Lytechinus pictus: one gene and its partner. The main gene of each other region encodes a partner of the protein of the gene in region 2 in a complex. Links are inferred from orthologs where the notes say so. Each region holds a gene or a part of one and is shown on either strand. Other genes may lie near its edges. The genes, in order: vacuolar protein sorting-associated protein 72 homolog and inhibitor of growth protein 3-like.

Region 1 (12,768 bases), about 30 Mb from region 2:
ACTGATAAGAGAGTTGGTCTAAAAATAATCAAGAACTCACATAAAGAGTGAAGATTTTTCTTCTCTGTGATCTTAGCCTCGGCAAGGAGCTCCTCTTGAGTGAGTCGTCTCATCTCTGGAACGTTCTTCTTTGTCTTCTGTTGTTTGATGATCTGTGCTTTGGTCTCACGCTCTTTGATCCGAATCTCAAACTCATTCACCCGTTGGATGGTTGACCGTCGGCTTGACTTGCGAACTGAGAAGACAAGAATTTCAACAATATTTTATTCTATGAAGACTTCTCATTAACACTACAAAATACTTCCTGGCTTCATTAAAACAATCTCCCATAATTGTTCTTGAAAAGAATTGAGCCCACTGATTTCATCCTACATATTTGGGACTCATATTAAAAAATAGGATGTAAGTTTGACTACTTAAAACGTGCTTCTTCAAACATATTAGAAAAATAATGCTGGAAAAATGTTCACAATTTATATCAACATTGAATAATTATATTAAACACCCGACTCATGCCCTAAATGAAATCTTGTAATATAATGGAGATCCTTGAATATATGTCCATCCATGCCATCAAGGCTTTATGCCATGCATGCTATATGCGCAGATTGGGTTGGTATCAGATACCCCATTCCCATCAAGGTCAATGCACTGACTATAATAATTGTTACATTTATAAAGCGCTTATTACACTTTGTTTCTAAGCACTTTACATTGTAAATATCATTACCCCGATCATCGGATCCTATCATGCCCGCACACAATGTATGCACTTTCTCCACTCCTTGGGGAGCATTCCAACAAGAGTTCAAAGACTCAATTGCTAGGCATATGACATAGGTTTTCGCATCCTACCAGATATCCACTTAACACCTGGGTGGAGAGTGGCAAATTGTGGATTGAGGCCTTGCCAAAGGGCGCTAGGCCGCGGTGGGATTCAAACACACGACCCTCTGATTGCAAGGCAAGAGTCAGAACTGCTACACCACGACGCTTCATTTTCAGCTAGCCGAAAATCATTTTGGTCAGCCAAATAGAGTTTCAAGAAGTTACATAAGGCATAGAGGCAACATACATCTACAGCTTAGTAACATAACATCCCAGCTCAAGGATTCATAGATTTGAAAGTTAAAGGACAAGTCCACCCCAACATAAAGTATATTTTAATAAAAAGAGAAAAATCCAACAAGCACAACACTGAAAATTACATCGAAATCGGATGTAAAATAAGAAAGTTATGACATTTTAAAGTTTTGCTTCATTTCACAAAATAGTTATATGCACATCCTGGTAGGTATGCAAATGAGGAGACTGATGACGTCATCCACTCACTATTTCTTTTGTATTTTATTATATAAAATATGGAATATTCTAATTTTCTTCTTATCAAGTGAAACAACATTAATTCCTCCCTGAACATGTGGAATTAGCATTGTTTAACCCTAATTCTCCCGGGGGGGGCCATAATGGCCCCCCCCTCGACAATTTTCGCGATATATCTGCTTCGCGAATTTTTTTTACCTCGCCGCTCACTGACTTTTTACTTTCAAGTCTCGCGCAAATTTTGAGACCAAATTTGTGACGCCCGGGTACGCGGTTACGACATTACGCAACATTATATAAGTGCATGTCAGACCCAAAATTGCTCATAAACGTGATTTCATGTACAAATCCAATGCAAATAGTGTATTTAGCCAAAATTCATAAATGTATCATTATTTCTACTTTTACTGATTAAACTTAATTAATTTTGCCTTGTTTATGATCAGAATTAAGTCTGGAACGATTTCCATAGAAAAAACAATAAAAAACCAAAAGTAAAAAAACAAAGAAATACATAAGAAATTCATAAAACAATAAAATACATAAGAAATTGATTTCCAAACCGAAGTTTTTTTTTATTGCGATTGTTAAGAATGCTACAAAGAATATTTTTACCAAAAATTAGCATTCTAGGAGCTTTATTTAGTGAATTAGAGCAAAAAGTATGATTTATGCATAAATTAGCATAATTAATTCATATAAAATAAAATCTCAATATTTTGGAAAATTTTACCATACAGCCTTGTAGATTACATCACACACTACCAGCGTGCAAATTTTTGTGTCGCTCGCGCGATCGGCGGCCGAGATCTTAAGGGGGGGCCATAATGGCCCCCCCCCCCCGGGAATGACAAGAATCAAAATACCCCGGGAGCTTGAGGGTTAATACTATATGGTTCAATCAAGTTGGTCCTTATTGCCAAATCTGTAAACAATGAAATATTGTATAATTCAAACAATAAAAACAAAAGAAATAGTGACTGAGGGACATCATCGACTGTCTCATTTGCATGTCACTGAGTTGTGCATATCACTGTTTTGTGAAAAATAAGCGAAACTTTAAAATTTCACAACTTTCTTATTTTATGTCCGATTTCGATGAAATTTTTGGTGTTATGCTCGTTTGATTTTTTCTTTTTTTATTCAAATCTACATTTTTCTGGGGTGGACTTGACCTTTAAAACCTTACTGAGGAAGTTCATTCAGCCAGTCCCATCAAGGTTGACAAAACATTTAATCTCAAGCTTTAAGGTTTCAGAGATCTCATTTGGACTAAAGACTTTGTTCTATCCTGAAAATGGCACATACCTGAACTGGAATCTTCCTTGGAGTAATGTTTCTTCTTCTTACTGCTCGGTGTGGTAATTTTCGCTTTCTTTTCCCTTGGGGTGTGACTTGTGGGAGATTTTTTCATGACAGGCTTCTTGGCAGGCTCCTGGAATAGGAAGATATTTATAGTAAAATCAAACTCGAGAAGTTGCAACAAGAAATCATTTAGAGAGGGATTTGCAATAGCAGATTGTACAGTACTTCTGACTACTTCTACTACTGACAATTTCCTAGCATTATTTCAGCAATCTCATACTTTTACATTCTTGGTGAAGTAAATCTGAATTGCAATTTCATTTAATAAAATACAAAAAGAAAAGCAAGTATATGACATCAACTCCCTCTTATTTAAGTGATGACATGCACAGAAGTGTTGTAAAAATACATTAAATAAACTGTACCTTACCTTTGTTATTTTTAAAATCTAATTATCCATACATGTTTACATAGGGGAAATAACATGAGGGACACCGAACGTGTGATTCTTCAGTAGATGATCGCAAGAGCAATTTTGACTATCTATATATACCTTGAAAAAATTATAAGGTAACAGAGTACAATGATTGAAAATAAAAATGAAAAAGTAAGGTTTTACAAAGAAAAGGTGGTGAAACTATAACTTTGACAAGGGATAAGAGAGGGTCTAACCTTGTAGGATTTAGTAATCACTCTTCGTTTTCTCTTTGGTCCATCATCATCACTATCACTGATTGGTTCATCATCCTCTGGGGCATCAATATCACTATCAGATGATGAATCCGCTTCACTCTCCTCACTAGAATATTCCTCATCACCAGATTCCTGGAGTAATCACATATAACAGAATCTATCAACACCAATCGGGTATTATTCAGAAATGGGTCCTCAAGATGGTTTAAAACAGTAGTCTATCTGCATTTGAACTATGGGGAAATTTGCGACTCTAAAGTTTTTGTATAAGTTACTTGAGTTGATAATGATCCTGTTCTGAATCTTTTAATTATAACTTTTTAGGTTTCTAGTGTTGCTGTAGCTTGTTTGTGGTCTATATTATGGTTGTTCCACTTTATATGTTTGTCATTTTGCCTCCGACGAAGATTCTACTAGGATCGAAAACTTAGGCCCCTTTTTGACTTTCTAATTATTATTTTATATAGGAATCAGTTTAACAGAATGAGGTGATTTTCCCCCTTTTAGGTGGAAAAATAAAAGTAATTTTAATTCCAATCCATATGTAGGATTTACATTTCAGCCTGATATCAGCATATATCACTGAACAAATTAATACACAACCTAGATATTATAAAAAAAATGTGTATTTGGTCTACACTCTTTGCAATAGAATGATCTTATTCAATAAATAACTAGTTTTCACATGAACTGGCATATAGGCCTATACATATGTGACTCTGTGTAAGTCAAACTCTTTATGCCACATAAGCAAATAATACAATTTTATCAGTAGTTACTTTAAATTCTTACAACTTTTTGTCTTATGGAGAGCAGACTCATACAAAGTTATTATTTTGCAGACTGATTATGCTTAAAGCATACATTTCCATAGTTACCAGCCTGCAAATGCAAGCTTTAATAGTCTCAAATTAGTCATCTATACTGTTTACTTAAAGTAATCCTCACCTCCTGGAAACCTCCATATGTTGTTTTATAGAATTCATCCTCTTGTTCTTCAGCAAGGAGTCTGTGCATCTTGCTGCCAGCATTGGCACGCTTTTCTCTTGTCTGGACCAGTGACATGATTATAATAGTGTGATTCTCTAATGGACTGTGGTATAAGAAATGAGAAGAAAAAAATAGAAAAGTACCAGTGCTGGTTGAAACTGAAGACCCTTTTTTTTGCTTGTCAATTTTTTTCATGGACGAAATACCCTTAATTGTTAATAGTTAAAAACCTTTTTTTATGCTTGTCAAAATTTTCCTCAGGAAAATGTGCCCCCTTTTGGAAAATCCTGGATCCATCCCTGCTGGTTATCATCTTTGAACCTGTTTTATTTTACAAATTGTTCCAAGAAAATCTGAACTTCTAGACAGTAGACAAGCATTAGACCAAAAGCTTTGGTCTCTGTTATGTTGGTTGTTCCGCTGAACTCCGTTGGCTCCACTCACCGAATACAGAGACAGAAGTTCTAGCTCGATCTGTACAGGGGACTCAATGGCCATTTGTTTATGTATTAAGTTCGGATAAAACAGGGAAGTGAAGTTGCGCGACAGCCGAAGTCACTGTTTTTTCCCCTTTTAAGTTTATTTTTCCCCGTTTCGGTGCATTTCAGGCCAAAACGGAATGATAATCTTTATTTTGGTACAGTTCTTTTTATATATTTTTATGAAATAAAGACAAAAATCGATGAGCCCCGTCAGGGGGATTTTGCATTTTTAACCCCCTAATGGTGGCTGCACGATAGCGAGCCGTCTGTGTACGAGGAGAAATATATAAAAAAAATAAAATGTTTAAAAAAACTCTTCGAAACAGACGGCTGCCAGTTGTCTAGACAAGCATCAACTTTCAAGCAAACGCCATTTTTACACGCACATGTCCCTATAGTTAATTGGGATAAAAACAAATCCCATGGCATTTCAACCTCCATCTGATACAATTATTTTACCTTTGACTTGTCTGCCTTATTCTTTTCTAAAGGCAAGCTAACGTTAGATCTTGTCTTCTTGTCTTTCCGTTAATGCCCACAATCATTATATTGATTATTATGGCATATGAACGTCAAGATTGACTTGATCTAAAGTTAGTTCTTGAAGTTGAAAAGTGCGCAAATTGCAAATTATGCCTGCGCCTGTCACCCTATTCACTTCACTGTATTCATAATCATACCAACAGGCAACACACACACAAGATCGAAAACAGAATTTCACGATAAGGCAACGATTAGAATGTCAATGTAGCTTGGTTCAGTTGCTTTTCTCACTTTCTCAACACCAAAAAATTCATCCAAACTTGAACCGCTGAGGCTCGACAAACAGGCGCGGCGCGGAATGGCCGGACCAGGCTGGGGAGAAACTTCCCGCCGAACCGCGTACGTGGACCGCGGCGGCCTAGCCTACGACCTGCTACGTCCCTAGCCCGGCTGCAACTTTCAAACGTTAGGTGTGCTATAAATTCTATTTCGCACACTCTCTAAGTAATACTTCAGTTTGAATAATTGTAAAAGAATGTCATATGCATTTTGATTCACTAAAAACTTATGAAAATATTACCAGAAGAGTGAAAAAATGAAGAAACTAAACGCCGACTTGTGCAAAGATTTTTTTCCTGCAGGATAATTGCGTCATTGGGTGATTTCAAGTACGGTGTTGAAATCTGGTGTTGGTGTTGTGACAACACCAACACTAGCCACAACACCGTACTTGAAATCAGGATGGTGTTGGGATTGACCTCGGAAAATATGACTTATTTCCGGCAGTTCGTGTTGAATGCTGGTGTTGAATGTCGTCTGCTGAACCCAGCACTGCGGCTGGTGTTGACGATCTACGTGCAATTTCCCCATTCACCAACACCAACCCCCAGGGATTGGGAAAATCATGATTTCAAGTTCGGTGTTGGTGTTGGTGTTGGCAATCTCAAGCTCTTGAACAGGCGGCGAACACGATGAAACATCCCCGTAAAATTAGCTTTTACAGTTTAGCTAAGTACAAATCATTTGAGCTGTATATATTTTGATGAAGAATAATGTTCACTCTTTTGAATTCTTGAATTAATTAAAACATTTGTATTCTGAACGATGAGCATTTAATGCATTTCTCTCAGATTTCATTTTCGTCGTCGAGACTTCTCGCGTGAAGTTGAGATGATTTAGCAGCGCAGCGCAGAGGCGTGACGTCATGTGCTATCGATAACGCAATCGGTATCATTCCTCTGAACCCAGCTCGGTGTTGGAGCTCGGTTCAGCGGCCTTTTTATGCTCTCAACACCAACACCAACACCGAACACCAAACTTGAAATCACCCATTATATACCGATAAGTACCGGTTACCGTATACCGGTATATACGGTACCTTATCCGTATGCGTATCCGTCCCCGGCCCGTACTACGAAAAATAACACTAGTGCATTCATCACGCAAGTGCAAGTTGACTGGGTCCTGGGATTTGTGTTAAATTTTTTCTTCAAACAAACTAATAATCAATAAAGATAAAGAAATGCCATTTTTCAACAAAACCCCACACCTCGGAGCTGCCATATTAGGAGCTACGATGGGCAGTGTCGGGACTGTAATACCATTTATGATGTCTCTTTCGCCCTTCTCAGTCTCAGCATCAAGCGGAAATGGAGCTGGAGAGACCCCCAGAGCTTCGGCTTGCAAGGATGCCTCTATTCCGCTGGTTACACGTGATGATTTGGAGCTTAAGTTTGTGCAGATTTTGTTTAGACATGGTGCTAGAACGCCACTAGGATCTGGATGTATCCCAAAGTCTGAGCAGGTAGGGTGTTTAAATTGGCCATCTCACAGTCACAGCTTCTTACATTTTATTTTCACTCTTCACATTTCAGAATTCAAGTGCAAGTGAAGTGACCAGCCAACAATTTGCACTTGCTCTTGTTGCGGGGGGGGGGGGGGGGGGGGGGGGAGAGGAAGGAAGGGGGAAAAGTAAGAAATAAACACAGAAAAAGAACAATAAAAAAGAAGAAAGATAATAGCAAGAAAAGAAGGAATCAAGAAAGAAAGAATCAAAAGGAAGGAAGGAAAAAAAGAGAGAAAAGACAATTTAAACCAAAGAAAGAAAGAAGTATTATGAAAGGAAGGAAGAAAGAAAAAGAATGGAAGATAGAAAAGATTCTTTAATGGGAAGAGATGAAAGGAGAAAGAAAGGAAAGGACAGAGAAAATGAAATAAATGAAGGCTGAATGAGCTGGGAGTGGGGAAGAAAGGACGATGGAAGAAAGTAGGAAAGAAAGAATGAAAGGAAGATCTATGAAAGAAACTCTCATGTGAAATGATGTGATCATCGTTTATGTTGTTATCAATGTTATGTGATTTCTACAGCCGTCTTAGGTTAATTTGGGAGAGATTCTCCCATGAGTCCAATCCAACTGTATGAGAGGCGATCTGCCACATATGATTTTTCAAAATAGGGATATGAATTATAAGCAAATTTGATAAATCCTACATAGATTGAATCCTGTATAGTGATTGGTTCAAATAGCATCATGTGACCAAATATATTTCAACTATAATGTTTGTGACGTCAGACCTCGATATATTTTTCGCTATACCAATATTCTGACGTCATTATTTCAGAAAACTGGATATTTAGCTAAACTCTCGGGCGCACCGGCCAGCGAGCTCTCTCTCCCGGGCCGGGCAAGTCCCTTGATGCGTTGGCGCAGGCACTAATCTGCGTTTCGCTGAGCGCGGTGGCTCGGAGAAAAGTAGGTAATTCAACGCAAGTAACCAGACTTTGCAAGCTCAGCGCATAGATTTTGGTTATAAATTATTAAAAGTAGGATATAAAACAAAATATATCAGGCATTTCATTTGAAAGCATAGTGGGAATTATTAGTCCTCGGTTGGACTGGCAAAACTAATATATTTCTCTCGGGGTTTCGCCCCTCGGGAAAAATAGTAATTGCCAGACCAACCTCAGATAAATTCCACTATACTTTTTCAAAGCCTGATATATTTGTTAATTGTAGCCTTCTACTGTAGTTTCTTTTTTTTTTCATCCAGACATCCACAGACAAAACAACTTGGGTTCTGACCTTGATAAATCCTTGGTTTGAAAAAAATAATGCCTTGTTTTCAATATTATTTCTTTCTTTGATCAATTTGCAAAGCAAGTCTTTATTACTACTATACTAGTATATATTCCCATATACTGACATCCCTAAAACTATATGTAGCAAAGGTGTTGGTGACTTTGATTACAGTATATCTAGTAGATGCATGATTATAGTGAGCAGAAGTCATCTTTGTTTGTATACCAGCAAAAAAAAATATCAATTAGGTTTATGGTAGATGTGGTTGCTACTTTGATGGATGGGGTCAAACCAATTTATTTTTGTCTCGCCTGCATAGCAGAGCGAGACTATAGGCGCCGCTTTTCCGACGGCGGCGTCAACATCAAATCTTAACCTAAGGTTAAGTTTTTGAAATGACATCATAACTTAGAAAGTATATGGACCTAGTTCATGAAACTTGAACAAAAGGTTAATCAAGTATTACTAAACATCCTGCCTGAGTTTCAGGTCACATGATTAAGGTCAAAGGTCATTTAGGGTCAATGAACTTTGACCATGTTGGGAGAATTATTTTCAAAATCTTAACCGAAGGTTAAGTTTTTGAAATGACATCATAACTTAAAAAGTATATGGACCTAGTTCATGAAACTTGGGCATAAGGTTAATCAAGTGTCAGTGAACATCCTGCTCGAGTTTCAGGTCACGTGACCAAGGTCAAAGGTAATTTAGGGTCAATGAACTTTGGTCAAGTTGGGGGTATTTGTTGAATTACTATCATAACTTTGAAAATTTATGGATCTAGTTCATGCAACTTGGACATTAGGTTAATCAAGTACCACTGAATATCATGTGCGAGTTTCAGGTCACATGACCATGGTCAATGGTCATTTAAGGTCAATGAACTTTGGCCGTGTTGGGGGTATTTGTTAAATTACCATCCTAACTCTGAAAGTTTACGGATCTAGTTCATGCAACTTGGAGATAAGGTTAATCAAGTATTAGTGAACATCCTGTCTGAGTTTCAGGTCACATGACCAATGTCAAAGGTCATTTAGGGTCAATGAACTTTGGCCAAGTTGGGGGTATTTGTTGAATTACCATCATAACTTTGAAAATTTATGGATCTAGTTCATGCAACTTGGACATTAGGTTAATCAAGTACCACTGAATATCCTGTGCGAGTTTCAGGTCACATGACCAAGGTCAATGGTCATTTAAGGTCAATGAACTTTGGCCGTGTTGGGGGTATTTGTTAAATTACCATCCTAACTCTGAAAGTTTACGGATCTAGTTCATAAAACTTGGACATAAGAGTAATCAAGTATCACTGAACATCCTGTACGAGTTTCAGGTCACATGACCATGGTCAAAGGTCAATGAACTTTGGCCGTGTTGGGGGTATTTGTTGAATTACCATCCTAACTCTGAAAGCTTATGGATCTAGTTCATAAAACTTGGAATATAAGAGTAATCAAGTATCACTGAACATCCCCTGTGAGTTTCAGGTCACAAAACCAAGGTCAGTTAAGGTCAATTGGGGTAATTGTTGAATTGCCATCATAACTTTGAAAGTTTATAGATAGAGTGAATGAAATGTGGACATGGGTGTAGTTGACAAGTCTTAAGTCACCGTTCAAATGTCATTTATGGTCAATGAACGGTATTATGTCATTATATGAATGATGTTTTTGTGAATGATTATTTTATAGTAGTTTTCAAAGTTAGCACTGCTGCTAAAATCGCGTAATGCAGGCGAGACTGCCAGAGGCGTTCCACTTGTTTTATTATAATTGTATTATAATATAGTTCATCAGAAATCATATTCCTTTCTTGTCTTATATATCTAGGCCAGTCATAGTGCTGTCATCACTAAGTAAACTCATCACTATCACTTTGCTCATCATCATACTCACCATCAAGATATATATAGTGTTTTTTTATCATAAATGAGATTGCACAGTGAACACACTTAAAGGTGATTTTGTTATGCCTTTTCTAATTTAATTTGATTTGAAATACAATATCTCTGATGAACAGAGAAGTAATGTTATGAATTCTTAAATGCAAAATAAAATGCAACAACAAGAGAGCAGCACTATTTACAAGTAGGCTTGCATAAAGGATGTTGAAAGAAAACAAATGCTACATTGGACTACTTAAATCATTGATCAGACACCTGACAATCACTGTATTGAGCTTACAGTATGTGTACAAAAATTAATCTGTTCACTGGTCAACAGTGTACTTGTTATATTTCAAGAGGTTCGTGAACTAAAATCATTTTTTTTAACCTTCGCAGATTGATTTGGAAATAGTGGAAAATGAAGTGAATTACGCTGTGTCATTTCAAATGAACTTGAAGAATGCAAGATTATTAATCAAACATTTCTTTTTTTGTCACTATTACAGAGCGTTTGGGATAAAGATACTTTATTCCAAGGAGAAGCTGATCTATGCATTGATTACAAAGTTAGGGCTTTAGATGGAAGACCACAGCCTGAATGGAAAATTGAGCAGTACTACAGAAAGGCTCCACTAAAGGTATGTTTGTTACAAGTATATTCACATGTTTGGATGAATTTCATAAATCATGTGGTAACAAAATTTCAAGTTTCAAATAACATACAAATGCAATACAGGCTTCCTGTGCTTTATTCAAGCCAGTCACCAGTGTGCAGGAGATGCAATCTTTTGCACATACATGTAGGCAGACCAATAGAATAAATAAATTTAAATCAAAGTGTCACAGTTAACCAGCTTCATTAGAACAAAATTTAATAAGAATTTCATGATATTGGATTTCAATCAACCAGGTTGGACTCTAAAAATGAGATTACTGTGCAGGATTTTTTTTTTTTTTGGGGGGGGGGGCTTAAATACAATTGTTTAATTCTGTGTACATGTACATATGTGCAACCATATTTTTTAATGTACTTTTATAGCACTACAGGCAAATAGATTCAAGCATGCAGAAATGATCCCACTGTGTAATCTTATTTCCATAGCGCTGGTTGGTTGATTACAGATTTGAAATCAGTATATGAAAGTTTTAATGTAGATAGGAAAATTCAGTTCCAGCAAACCAGAACTATTCATAGTATTTTTATTAAAATTCTTGTTGATTTTTGAAATTTTGAATTTCTTTATATTAAACTGGAAACAGCATTTCATAGATTTGTGTTTTGTCATTTTTTTATTTGCCAACTGTTATGCATTTGCCAAATGATATGTTTAGATTACAGTGTTACATTATTTTTCAAACAATATTGATGATAGGACAAACTGCACTGCATTTCACTGAAACCAGCAAACAAACAAGTTTACATGTAAACATATTTTCCTTGTGTCTGTAATACTCAGGGTGGATCTTTTAAAGGTCAACTTACAGCCAAAGGTATGAAACAAGCCAATGATCTTGGAAAGGAATTGAGAAGACATTACATGGAGAAACTTGGATTCCTACCCAAGGAATTCAATCCACAACTGGTATAGTAAGTGTTTAGTAGAACCAAAGTTTCATGATGGTCAAATATAATAATGAAGTGCCTGTTTATCAAGTATAGATTGTAGTAACCCAGGGGGTGCATTGTGGTTCGCCTCAACCTTTTGCAAGATAAAACTGTAACATGAAAAGCTTGCACTGAAATGTGTCATTACTTTTTTTTATTTTAAGTCTTATGCAACATATGGAACTGATTTCTGATGCCTGTGTTCGAAGTTTCAATGTCAAACAACATTTTGTAAGTTAATGTCAGACTCTGAAACGCAGCAAGCATGATTTCACATAACTATCTAATGCAAATTCTGTTTCTAGCCAAAATTCTAAAATCGATCATTAGGCCTATATTTACTTAAATTACTGATTGAAATCAATTAATTTCATGTTGTCTATAATCAGAATAGTATATCGAACAATTTCCATGGAAGAAACAGATAAGAACAAAGAGTTAAAAATGAAATAAAATAAATACAAAATATCAAATAAAACCAATGAAATACACAAAATTTAAACACACTTTATGAGAATTGCCCAATTAGTCTCTAAACAAAAATTAGCAGTTCAGTTGTATCAATCATTGATTGACAGCCAAATTTGACTTTCATGCTGCATGAATAGTGAAATTTAGCTATGCAACCCCATAGATTACATAATTTTCTACCATCCAATTTATTATCATGAGCAGCCGAGATCTTAGGGAAGTCCTAGAATACAGACGTAATGGTTATCAAGTATGGCCAATCGCACAACTAGAATGACCGGTTATTAGTTCAAGGTCAGAGGTCATTCAGTTCATTGCACTATGATGAATATTCATATTAAAAAATGATTATATTTTAAATATTTTTTATCATATTTAAAGAAACTTGTATGAACTAAATAGCATAAATTTAAGTTCAAAGGTCATCTGAGGTAAATAACTCAGTAAGTT
Region 2 (13,182 bases):
CTTTTTCTTTCTTTATTTGTTCCTTTCTTTCCTTCTTTCTTTTCTTTCTCTTCCCCTCAGTTTTTTCTCTATTTTTTCTTTCTTCCTTTTTTCTTTCCTTCCTTCTTTCGTTTCTTTTTTCCATCTTTCTCTTCCCCGCAGCCATTCTCTCTGTCTCTCTTTCTTTCTTTTTTTTCTTTCTTTATTTCTTCCTCCTTTCTGTCTTTCTTATTTTTTTTCTTTCATTCTCTCCCCCTCTCTTAATTTCTTTTTTTTTTCTGGTTATTTTCAGTGATTTCCCCTTTTTTTAATATTGTGTGTCCTAGTCCCCTCCAAAATATTTGGAAAATATATAAGATTAGGAAATTGACCATATATTTTGTCATGATGTACAAGATAAAAATCATTTAAAAAAAGAAATACAGCTACGAGGTACATCAGTAGTCATGTTGAAAAAGCGTAACGGACATGACACCCTTAGGAAGTGAACTTCATCAGCACTTCTTAGTTTCAAAATGAAAGAAATATGAATAATGAATGTAATTATGTAACAGCAAAATACTTTTACTAACATTCTTAAGAAAAACATGTAGATATTATTGGCAGGTATTATCAATTTAATAGCTATAGCCTACATGTATGATAATTTAATAAAGCCGTCAATGGTATGGTATGTAAATCCGTAAGCCTATAACTTGTTTTGAAGCAATAAAACTTTGTTTTGAAGGATTTTTTCAGGCAAGTGAAATCTATATTCGGGCAAGTATTTTCCAACTATTTGAAAACTTACTTGCCCGACTGGGCAAGTGCTTCAAAAAAGTTATGTAGCACCCTGCTATGGTACAAGTCTAATTGTTTACATGTTAAGGAGCTAGAGGTTAGAGACACACATCATAACTGGTAATCTGTAATATCTCCTATTATTTTGCAATTTGAGAGAGGGGCTTTCATACAATATTTATAAAACAAAAAAATATTTAGAAAAATTTCTTTTACACCAGTTAACAACAGTTAATGAGTATTTTCCAGTTACTACCATCCGCCACACCTAATTAAAAGAGAAAAAGTTGATAGTAAAGATTATTTTTTATTCATGGCTTACTATTTGACAATATACACTAGCGTAACAGACATGACACCCTTAGGAAGTGAACTTCATCAGCACTTCTTAGTTTCAAAATGAAAGAAATATGAATAATGAATGTAATTATGTAACAGCAAAATACTTTGACTAACATTCTTAAGAAAAACATGTAGATATTATTGGCAGGTATTATTAATTTAATAGCTATAGCCTACATGATAATTTCATATAGAATACAATGCTTATAGTTAATCTACTTATAGTACCGTTACGACACACTGAAAAGACCAAATCTTATTTTTTGTGAGAACAAAATGTACCAGACCTGTATAAATCCAAGATGAACATATTATGAAATGTATTTTATGATGAAGAATATGTACTTGTATTAATGTCAGTTTTAAGATTAAAAAAAATGATATTAAAAAGTATTTCAAAATATAATAGCAGTACCTGGAAACCAGTCTTTCATTATCGAGTATGAGTTGAAAGGTAATCGGAATGTTTGTAAATCGCTTCTGAGATTTTTTTCGTTCAAAATAAATATCATCCTGAGTATAATCATCCTTTTATCAAATCTTGAATGTTCTAAATCTTACGATCTTGCTTGCTGACAAATGTAGCTGTATCTAATTTTGTTGCATTGTCCGCGCTGCTTGTGTACAAATGAAGATACATCATTAAAATCGTGATTATGGCTGACCAAAATACTATGACATAAATTTATTTTATTGATCTCGCCACATTCCTTCCACAGCCCCTTTGCTTTGTGATATTGCAAAGATGTGCCACTGTAGATACATGGATTCACAGAGCTACATCATGTAACACAGATATCTGAATACAAAGTTGTTTTTAAATGTGAGCCCGTGCCATCACTGAAGAAGTTGAGGTTGGTGAAAGTCAGATACTTTGAAGCAATATCATCAATGATCTCATGAATTCACAAGTTGGGATTTTATCATGCTCCAAATTGTCAGTGCAAATACCTAAGATAATCAATTGTATTGTTCAAACACAAATGATACAGATTGTGATCTGAGTATGTTGCCAGATCTAGCTTCATCTTATCCTAATATTATGTGGCATACCGTTAATTCTCAGAAAAATATACCAAAACAAGAGCTAAACTTTCATCATTAACTAACTTCTAAAAATAGCTTGAATGACATGCAGATTCTAGGAGTTATTACATCCAGCTATCCTCAAGCAATTGAGACTGACCTCAGTCTGTGACACTGAGCCTAATATTTTGTTTTCATGAATGCTGCCTTTTGTCATATATAAGGAAGGGAAAAAAAGAAAGAACTAAAGAAGGAAAGGAAGGAAGGAGTAAAGAAGGAACAAAAATAAGAAAGAAAGAAAAGAAAAAAGAAATGAAGGAAAGAAATGAAGCAAGCAATACAGAAAGAAAGAACAAATCCAGAAAGTAGTAAAGGAAAGAAAGAAGCAATAAAAAGGAAAGGGTAAAAGGAGAGATGGAAAGAAGGACAAAAGAAAGAAAGAGAGGAAGGAAGGATTGAAAGACGGAAGAAAGGAATTAAGGAAGAAATAAAGGAAAGGTAAAATGATAGACAGAAGGAAAGAAATAAAGGAAGGGAAGGAAAGAAGCAAGCAATATAAAAAAAGAAAAGATGAAAGGGAGAAAAAAGAAGGACTGAGAGACAAAGAAAGGAAGGAATGAAAGAATAAAGGAGAGAAAGGAAGCCAGCAGTAGAAAAAAAAAGGAAGGTAAAAGGATAGATTTAACAAAGGGAAAAAGGAAAGAACAAGACAGATAGACGAAAGGAAGGAATTAATTTAAGAGAGAGAGGGCTTAAAGAAGGAAGAAATAAAAAAAAAAAAAAAGAAAGGGTAAAAAAATGATGGATGGATGGAAGGAAGAAAGAAAGAAACAAAGAAAGTAACAAAGAATGAAGGAAAGAAAAGGGTAAAAAGAAGGAAGGAAAGAAAGGAAGAAGAGAAGAGATGAATATAGGATGGATGGACTCATGTGGCATCCGGTTCAGGACACTCACACGTATTGCGAGGTTAGTATGCTATACAATTATAACGATGTACTTTGAATTGTAATAATTACTGAGACAATAATATTAATGATATATCAATAATAATCATCATAATAATAATACTTATAATTAAAATAAATATAATTGTAGAAACAATTATAATTATAGTAATTATAATTATAGGCCTTATAATTAATGAGACAATAATAACTATTATTACAATAATACTAATTATTATAAAATAATTATAATGATAACAATTATAATGAAAGTAATTATAATTGTAATAATTACTGAGACAGTAATATTGAAAGGTCATCAATAATTATTATTATAAAAATTATTATGATTATAAAAATAATCATAATTATAATTAAAGGCCTTATAATTATTGAGACAAATAACTATTATTACAATAATAATAATTATAGAATAATTATAATGATAACAATTATAATGAAAATAATTGTACTTGTAATAATTACTGAGACAGTAATATTGATAAGTCATCAATAATTATTATTATAAAAATTATTATAATTATAATTATAATCATAAAAATAATCATAATTATAATTATAGGCCTTATAATTATTGAGACAATAATAATTATTATTTCAATAATAATTATTATTATGAAATAATTATAACAATAATTACTATGATAGTAATTATAATTGTAATAATTATTCAGAAAATAATATTAATGAAACAAAAATAATTATCATAATAATAATTATCATAATTATAATACTTATTGGGACAATAATGAAACGATGATGAGACAATAATAATATCAACAATTTTATTGAGACCATAATAACAAGACAATGAGATAATAGACAATTGAAATCAATCTCTTTTTATTTTTTTCTAGAAATCCTAAGATTATTATTTTAATTCTCTTTCTTTGATTACAAATTATATTCATTGAAAACTTAATTTCTAATGTTCAAGGCAAGCAAAGAAAATCAATATCAAGTCATGTTTACCCTGTGCACAAACCTACCACAGGGCAATTACCCCCGAAATAGGGTTAGGTTAGGTGTAGATTTTTGGATAGGGGTACAGTGTAGTTGTCCGGAGGGGGGGGGGTAATTGTCCAGGGTGGGTGGGGGTGGGGGGAGGGGAATTGTCCGAGGGTGGGGGGTGGGGGGTTATCGTCCAGGGGTAGTTGCCCTTGAACCAAAGAAATCATATGCCAATATGTCAAATCAATCTGAGTACTTTAAGATTTAAATAAAAAGCTTGTACAATTCCCCATAAGCTATGTATTATAAATGTGCCATGCCCAAAACAAAGAGAATAATAAGATTTCGCAATCTTCTTTTGTCCACAAAAAGGCCTGTTTTTTCATCACAAAGATGACAATAACTCGACTTCTAGATATCGGAATTTGAAAATTCAAACAGTTTTGTGAATCGTAGATATTGAGCCTCATTGTGAGCCCATCAAATATGCTGGAACAGCCTTTCCTAATTTTCACCTGAAGTGCCTAGAATTAGCGGTAACTGCGGTCTAAGGTACGATATTTCTTAATTTTATACATTTTTTCGTAAATATGGATGTGATTTCTTTTTCATAATGTGACATTTTATGTACAAAAAAGCGATCGGAAAATCGGGTTTCCGCCGAATGTTAGATCTAACGTTACTGCTAATATTAATAAGTTGTCTGTACGTACGGGCCTCCAACTAGTCCAAGCTTTTCAGTCTATGTAACTATTGGTGAGTGAGCCAACGCAGTTCTGTGGAACAACCAAAATACAGAGACTGAAGCTTTTGGTCTAGCCCCATACTAATTACTACTATACTAGGCCTACTAGACCAAAAGCTTCAGTCTCTGTATTTTGGTTGTTCCGCCAAATACAATTTACAAACCACAATCCACATAATATACATACTAAACTTTCACCACATACCACATTATAAGTTAACTGAAAATCCCTCTATTAATTGGTTCCAATCAACATTTGTCTAGGGTGGACTTGACCTTTACAGCATGCAAAATATTGTGACCGGAAATACTCTGCCATTAATTGTACATTCTCTCAATGGAAAGCTGTGGGCATACGTTCAAAGGATTGACCGAATACGAGCACCCCTTTCTATCCCATAACAGTAGATACGGTAGGATGGGGGGTCGGGTGTCCGGACACTTTATATTTTTGAAGCCTTCTTTTTGTCTTTGGATTACACTAAAAATATGAATTCAATAGTTGTAATCATCTTCTATTTTGTTCTCTATAATATTTCCTAACATTTTGTACTAAAAATTGATGAAACTTCGCTTGTAAATTTTTCCAAATGACTTTCTAAAATTGATCGTCCGGACACACAACAACTGGGTACCGGTACCGCACCGTACGCACACATTTAAAATTCCCGCAAAATGATCTTTCCCATTTATTACCGATATTATAAGCTGTACGTTACTTTTTGTACATCGAAACTTATAGTTAAAGTTAGAAGTGTGAATTATAACAATTTACTCACTCTCAAGGTAATCTTCCAAATACAACATCTTCGAATATTTTCCAGGGAATCACCGAGCGATTGGACTTCGGAGAATACTCAACTTATTACTGTAATATTGGAACGGCAGATGGCGTTTTTGACCATGTTGACGGCCGGTAGGTAGTTGTTATATTCAGTATAAACACTGGGATCAGTGAGGTAATTTAGTTGTTTTCTTAGGAGGGAGTGATAAATTTTGTGAAAATAACTTTGAATCTTTAATTTTAGTTTTCAAATCACAGGAGGGATGGGAGAGGCCTCAAAATAGGTCTATTCATAATTTGCATTTGTTTTTAGGACATGAAGAAAAGTCTTTCTTCTTTGGGTTTCATAGTAGGGACAGTCTATGGGAATGTGTTTGAGTATGTTTGCAGAAGTGTATGTGTTATGTTTGTTGGGGTGAAGGGGAATGATATGTTGGGTGTTATGTTTTCCAGTTCTGGTGTCTGTCTGTATTTATCTCATCTCCAGTTTAGTTTAATAGGTTATTTTGTCATTTTAAATAAATCAAGCTACCAATTTGCAGTAATATTATCATTCATATTTTTGTTCCAAATTTTTTGTCAGAGGTTTAGACTTTTTGTGTTAATTGATGTCGGGTAACTTAAAATTACTTTCGGTCAATGTCAGAGGGTTGAGAGATAGAATCAAAAGGAATAAAATATTTCAGTGGTGTCAGATGATGGGGGATATAATATTTTTGCAGGAAACTTTCAGCACAAAAGACACTGAAGGTGGATGGAAGGCTGATTGGAAGGGGGAAATGTTTTTCAGTCATGGAAGTAACCACAGTAGGGGAGTTATCATAATGTTTAAATCAAAGGTTGATTTTCTCAAAGAAAAAATTATCATTGATAAAGAAGGACGATATGTTATAATTAAAGGAAAGTGTCAAGGTGAAAAGATTATATTGGGCAGTGTATACTTTCCCACATAAAGAAAACTCACAATGTAATTTTCTGTCTGATTTAGACAAAGTTTTATCTTCTGTAGTTGGTCAAGAATATTCTCTTATTGTTGGAGGAGATTTTAATATTGCTATGAATCGAAACTTAGACTACATGGGTGGAAGTAATATTTCGAAGAATAGATATAAAGATTCATTGGTGGATTTTCTTGATAGGCTAAATCTAATTGATGTGTGGCGGAAGCGGCATCCTAACAAAGAAAGAATTTACCTTCAAACAAAATAATCCCTTCGTTCAGAGCAGATTGGATTATATTTTTATCTCCTCGAAATTAGAAAAAGACGTGAAAAGTTCAAACATTTTACCCTCAATCACTCCTGACCATGCTAGTTCAGGTCGAGTTTGATAATTTAGTCGAAAGTTTTGCATATGGGAGATCGTACTGGAAGTTTAACAGCAGTTTATGCTCTGATAAAGATTTTGTAGACGGAGTAAAGATGAAGATTTCTGAAATAGAAAGAATATGGCGGGACCAAATAACAAGCAAGATTAAATTTTGGGAATTTATGAAAATGAAGTTAAGAGAATATATAATGGCATTTTCCCGTGAAAGAGCAAAACTCAGAAAAATTCACATTGAAAAATTACAAAAAGAAATTAAAGATTTAGAATATCGCTTGACGATCACTTTTCATATTGATATCCAAAACGAAATTGAATTTAAAAAAGAGGAACTAGATAAACTTTTCGACTATTCTCGTCAAGGTCTAAAGGTCCGTTCAAGAGCCCAATGGTTTGAGGAAGGACTAAGAAATTCACAGTTCTTTGAACAATTACTTGAATCCAATAAAAGGAGAATTAGTGCGATTAAGAAGATTTATAATAAAAATGAGGAAACGGTGCGAGATTGCAAAGGTATTATACAAATCATTCGGGAGTTTTATAAAAATTTATATGCATGTAAAAATCTTGAAACTAATGATGATATTGAAAACATGTTTTTTAGTGATTTACCCAAATTGAGTAAAGAAAATAGAGAGTTTTGTGAATATCCGATAACACATGAAGAATGTTTTCAGGCTTTAAAGGAAATGAAATGGAATAAATCGCCTGGCAATGATGGTTTTACCGCAGAGTTTTACTTTACATTTTGGCCACTTTTAGGGAAAATCATAGTTGAAGCTTTCAATGAGAGTTTTGAAGTTAAAATGTTGTCAAATTCGCAGAGACAGGGGGTAATTACTCTAATTGAAAAAGAAGGCAAAAATCCTTTGCACATGAAAAACTATAATATAGGCCGATAACTCTTTTGAATGTAGATTATAAAATTTTGTCAAAAGTGTTAGCGACAAGGGTGAAAGAGGTCTTGGGAGATATTATTCATTGTGATCAAGTGGGTTATGTCAAAGATCGTAATATTGGGGAAGCAGTTCGGTTAATTGATGATATGTTTTTTCAGTCTTTGTATCAACCCTTAGGTTTTTTAATTGCAGTGGATTTTGAAAAGGCGTTCGATTGTATCTCTCATAAACTTTTATTCAAAACTTTAGAACATTTCGGGTTTGGGAAAAATCTGTGTTCTTGGGTCAAAACTCTTTATTATAATGTTAGTAGTTGCGTGTTGAACGGGGGGCATTCTACGGGATATTTTGAAGTTAATAGAGGAGTAAGGCAGGGGGATCCACTCTCTCCATATTTATTTATCATAGCGATTGAATTATTAGCTCATTACACTGGCGTAAATCCGTGTTGATGGGTGGGGGGGATGACTGAAATATTTTGGCATTTTTTTTGCAATCATGTTTTTAGATATGCAAGGAATTGCCATTGATATGTCCACAGTGGCGTACCGTGGGTCACGGCATGGGGGGGGGGGCACCAGCAAAAAAATTGAATCACTGAGTGAGTGCGCTAGTGAGCGCGCTCAGTTGCCAGTTATACTGACCTAATAGAGACATTTTTAAGGACAATGTCATTAAACTGATATGTATCTCACTGATCAAATAATGCGAGCGCGAAGCGCGAGCTGAAATTTTTTTATATTCACACCTAAAAAGGGACATTATAATCAAATTTGTGTAAACATGATAGGTACCTGTCTCGCTAAACAATGCGAGCGCGAAGCGCGAGCTGAAAATTTAGATAATTCAGACCTGAAGTGGGGCATTCTAAGGTTTTTTTGTAAGAATTAACTAGGACCATACGTATTCCATTAACCAAATGATGCGAGCGCAAAGCGCGAGCTGAAAATGTTTGATATTCAGATTAGAAGGGACATTTTAAGGACTGATTTTAGGAATTTATGAAAAGCAGACATATCTCACCAATCCACTAATGCGAACGTAATCACGGACAGGAAATGTTTCATATAAACGAAGACCTTAACATTGGGCAATCACTTTTTGAGTCGTGAAAAAGAAGCATATGTCACTACATAAAACAATGATAACTCAAGTGCTAGGAAATATATTTGGTTTATATTGACTTGAAAACGGGATGTTTTAGTACAACAGGATTATATATCACGTTAAACAGACAATGCGAGCACCAGGAACAATGAAGACGTAGGCCCTGGGCAAATTATGTTTCATAAAGTTATGATAAATATGTTTCTTATGTAATGTAACATAACATAATTATAATATAATATAACATTATAATGAATAATATTTTCTTCTTTCCCACTACGTTTCTCTTCCTTTCTCCCTCTTTTTCCTTTTCCCCTTTCCCCGTTTTTTTTTGGGGTCAGCCGATGGGGGGGGGGGGGATGTGCCCCCCATGCCCCCCGTAGTTACGCCACTGTATGTCCATATGGCAAATACCCCTCCAATATTATTATCTTTTTTACCCCATGATGGTTTAATGGTTTTATTAGAGGTTACATTTAAAAAAAATTGACATTCCATCTTAATCCCTTCCCAAAGACCCCAACATTGATGAATTGGAAGAAACGGGGGTTTCTCTTCAATGTTATAATAAGGACATAAGTATTTCGTTTGGAAATGGTGAACTGGCTCTTTATTTGCATTTTATGATTCAATAATATTGTTTTATTTGTTAAGCGGTATTTTAGGAAGAATTTTCACCAATAAAACAATTATCTCTTGTGATTTTTTTTTTATTTATTTCGCAAAAAGTGGGGGGGGGGATGTTTGTACAGGCCATCCCCCCCCCTCCTCGAAAAGTGGGGGGGATATATCCCCCCCATCCCCCCCGGGATTTACGCCAGTGGCTCATTATATTAGGAGAGATGTTAATATTAAAGGGATAGGATTTGGGAAACGGGAAATAAAACAAGTTCTGTATGCAGACGACATTACATTGTTTTTAAAAGATATGAACTCGATCCATAGAGTAAAGAAAATATTCTCAGATTTTGAAAATTTAAGTGGATTGAAGATTAATATGGATAAAACAAACTTTTTATGGTTGGGAGAAGAAAGAGATAGACCTGGTTTACCACTTCTTGGACATTGGTTACAACATATTAAAATCTTAGGGGTATATTTCGCACGGGATTGTAAAGTCAAAGATGACTTGAACTATAAGGAAATCTTGAGTAAAATTAAAAGACTTATTGGTTGGTGGAAGCAGAGAGATCTTACGATGTATGGTAAAATAAAACTTTTGAAAATGTATGCATTTTCAAAATTAAATTATGTTTCTTCCCTGATGACAGTCCCAAAAGACGTTTTTAAGGAAATAGAAAGAATTTCTTTTAATTTTATTTGGGGAGGAAGAGATAGAATAAAACGCAAGGTTTAGTTCTATATCAAGACTATTCTGTTGGAGGACTGAGAGCTCCAAATTTTTTTGAGGTCTTTGTTAAGACCCAACGAATAATGTGGATTAAACGTTTGCTAGATGGAGGGAAAAGTTCGGGTTGGAAAGCAACCTTCGAATATTTTTTTAGCTCTTTAGGTGGTCGAATCATATTTCTGTGTGATTATGATACGAGTAGAATGAATTTAAAAGGTATACCATTATTTTACATAGATATGCTGAAGGCATGGCACGAATTGGATAAGTGAAGACATTTTGGAGGGAAAAGTAATCCCATTATTTTTAATAACAAGCGTCTATGCCTTAATAATAAGACCTTTTTTGATATTGAATTATTTCAGAAAGGTATAGTTAAGGTCTCGGATATAATAGTTGGAGGTAAATTAAGACCAGTTTCATACTGGTATAATCTGAAATTTTCATCTGAAAACTTGCTCAAAATTCAAAAGATATTTTCAGTAATAACAGAAGAGTGAATACAAAATGATTTTATGGAAATGGATACAAACAACTTTGAAATTCAATTGATGATATGTGGGCATGTTCAGAAACTATGTGATATAAAATCTAGACGAATATATGACCACTTCATTGAAAATTTTCAAATTGATTATGTATTTCATGTTACAGATGGGCAATCCGAATATGATTTGGGAATGGGGGAACTGAAAGAAGTATTTTTGAGACTGAAATGTGCAATGCTATGCAATAAACACAGAGAATTTCAATACAAACAATTACAAGGGGCTGTGTACACAAAAAGGGAACTTTCTAAATTCGGTTTTGAGACAGATAATTTCTGTTCCTTTTGTAAAAAAGAAGTTGAGTCTTACCAACATTTATTTTTTTATTGTCCTGAAGTTAAGCGATTATGGGAAGAGATGAGTAAAATATTTCAACTGAATGAACTTGGCAGTGACGTTTGGAAAACAATTTTCATGGGGATATCTGGAAATACTACAAGAGTAGCTTTAATAAACTGTATTATATTCTTAATTAAGTATATCATTTTTAGTTCAAGAAAACAGGGAATATTGCCAACCGTACAGAAAGTGACACATTTGGTTAAAGAGTATAGAGACACGGAATATAAAATAGCGTTTAAAAAGGGGAAGCTGGGGGTGCACTTAAGGAAATGGGAACAAATCAATGCATACCTTTCTTAATACTATGGATGTATTGGTTGCTTCATTTTGTTTCTGTTTTGTTTATTTGTTCAAATACAGATAGTTGTACCAGAGCAGGATGCATTGTGTGTGGGTGTACGTGTGTAGATGGATGTGTGAGTTTTGTGATGGGGAAGAGGGGGGGGGGGGGGGAGAGCTGTGAGTAGTGGTGAGTTGAAGTGAGCTTGTGTGAGTGTCTGGGGAGAGAGATGAGGGGGGAGGGGGTATGGGGGTAAGGTGAGTGTGTAGGGACGTTTTAGGATAACCTTCCTCTAATTAACCTTTAAAATAATATTTTATCCTTTTTTTATTTCTTGTACAATTAATATGTGCAAGAGATTATTTCTATTCTATTCAGGGAAAAGGTCATTTTTTACAAAGTACGTTTTTTTGTTTTTTTTTTGTCGATTGATATGGGTTTTTCCCCTCTGCTTTCACATTGTTAAAGAAGAGAAATTTGGCAGTTTAATTTCATTTGTAATCATTTTAAAAATATTCGTAATCTCATTGATATTGATATATTTATTTGTTTGATTGTTTATTGATTGTATACATACAAAGAATCTTTATTTATATGAATTGTGATTGTAAACTTATTGATTTGAAAGAGGAAGAAAATAAAATATTATTCAAAACAAAAAAAAAGTAGTTGACTTGATCGGCCCAGGCCTGTCATGTCAAGCAGCTAGAGGCGTCGATCCGGGGGGGGGGGGGGGCAAGGGGGCGATCGTCCCATCAAAGAAAATATTGGGGTGGCAAGCATATCACCCCCCCCCCCCACACACACACACACACAATTTCGTAACTGCAACGCAGCTTTTGTTAAGGTAGCCCTACGTTTACGCAGGAATCTCATCATTTTACCGTAGTCCTATAGGCATATATATATAGGATTCTTTTCTGCCAATGGATAAACAAGAAATGAGTTTGTATAATAATCTCTAAATTAATTCTAAAAAACTACTTTAAAACTACTTAAAAAAAACTTTCCCACAAGATTTATATCGAGCTATCGAAAGATATTCATTTTTTAAAATCAAAATGACCTCGCACCTAACGCTCGATCGCACCATTGATCAATGCGATCCATATCAACTTTACAATTTTCCTATATACACAGTGCTTGAAAATTGAAATAATGCACTATTTTACCCTTCCACAGATCAGAATATAATTTTTTTCAGCTCGCGCTTCGCGCTCGCATTATTGATTTTCAAATTAAAATAAAAGTTTCTGGAATGCCGAGAATCCAGGTCGCAATATTATATTACCCATCCATGATTTCCAAAACATTAATAGAGTGTTCCATTTTTAGCTTTAAAGGAATGGTCCAGGTTGGATATATTTAATGCTGAAAATTTGATCAAAATCGGATAACAAATAACGAAGTTATTGAATTTCAAAGATTCGCATTATTATCGGCCAGGCATGTTTTCATGAATTAGGTGACGGGCTGATGATGTCATATCCCCACTTGTTCTTTGTATTTTATTATATGAAATTACTTTATTTAATTTTTTATACCAAGAACTCAACCAATTGGATTGACAACTGATTAAGTGCATTTAGTTATTTACTGCCGCAACTTATTTAATCATAATGGAGACACATCATTTGCACATGTATGAAAAAATGAAATATTCATGATTTCATTTAATAACATAAGAAAAAGGAAAGTGAGGATTTGACATCATCAGCCCACATAATGAATATTCATGACAATGTACATATATAACT

Evidence for each region.
Region 1: inhibitor of growth protein 3-like (region 2) and vacuolar protein sorting-associated protein 72 homolog share a complex: the UniProt entries of both Homo sapiens proteins name them as parts of the nuA4 histone acetyltransferase complex. The link is inferred for Lytechinus pictus from reciprocal best matches to the Homo sapiens genes ING3 and VPS72.

The regions. Positions count from the first base shown.
Region 1 is NC_087247.1:35,239,922-35,252,689, reverse strand, and holds the start of vacuolar protein sorting-associated protein 72 homolog, read right to left. Parts: upstream 5,673-12,768; 5' UTR 5,591-5,672; coding exon 5,568-5,590; intron 4,415-5,567; coding exon 4,270-4,414; intron 3,454-4,269; coding exon 3,301-3,453; intron 2,759-3,300; coding exon 2,632-2,758; intron 236-2,631; coding exon 41-235; intron 1-40. Other genes in the region: lysophosphatidic acid phosphatase type 6-like, read left to right, coding at 6,799-7,080, 10,748-10,879, 11,699-11,829. UniProt on the Homo sapiens protein: Deposition-and-exchange histone chaperone specific for H2AZ1, specifically chaperones H2AZ1 and deposits it into nucleosomes.
Region 2 is NC_087247.1:64,843,531-64,856,712, reverse strand, and holds the start of inhibitor of growth protein 3-like, read right to left. Parts: upstream 5,664-13,182; 5' UTR 5,596-5,663; coding exon 5,568-5,595; intron 1-5,567. UniProt on the Homo sapiens protein: Component of the NuA4 histone acetyltransferase (HAT) complex which is involved in transcriptional activation of select genes principally by acetylation of nucleosomal histones H4 and H2A.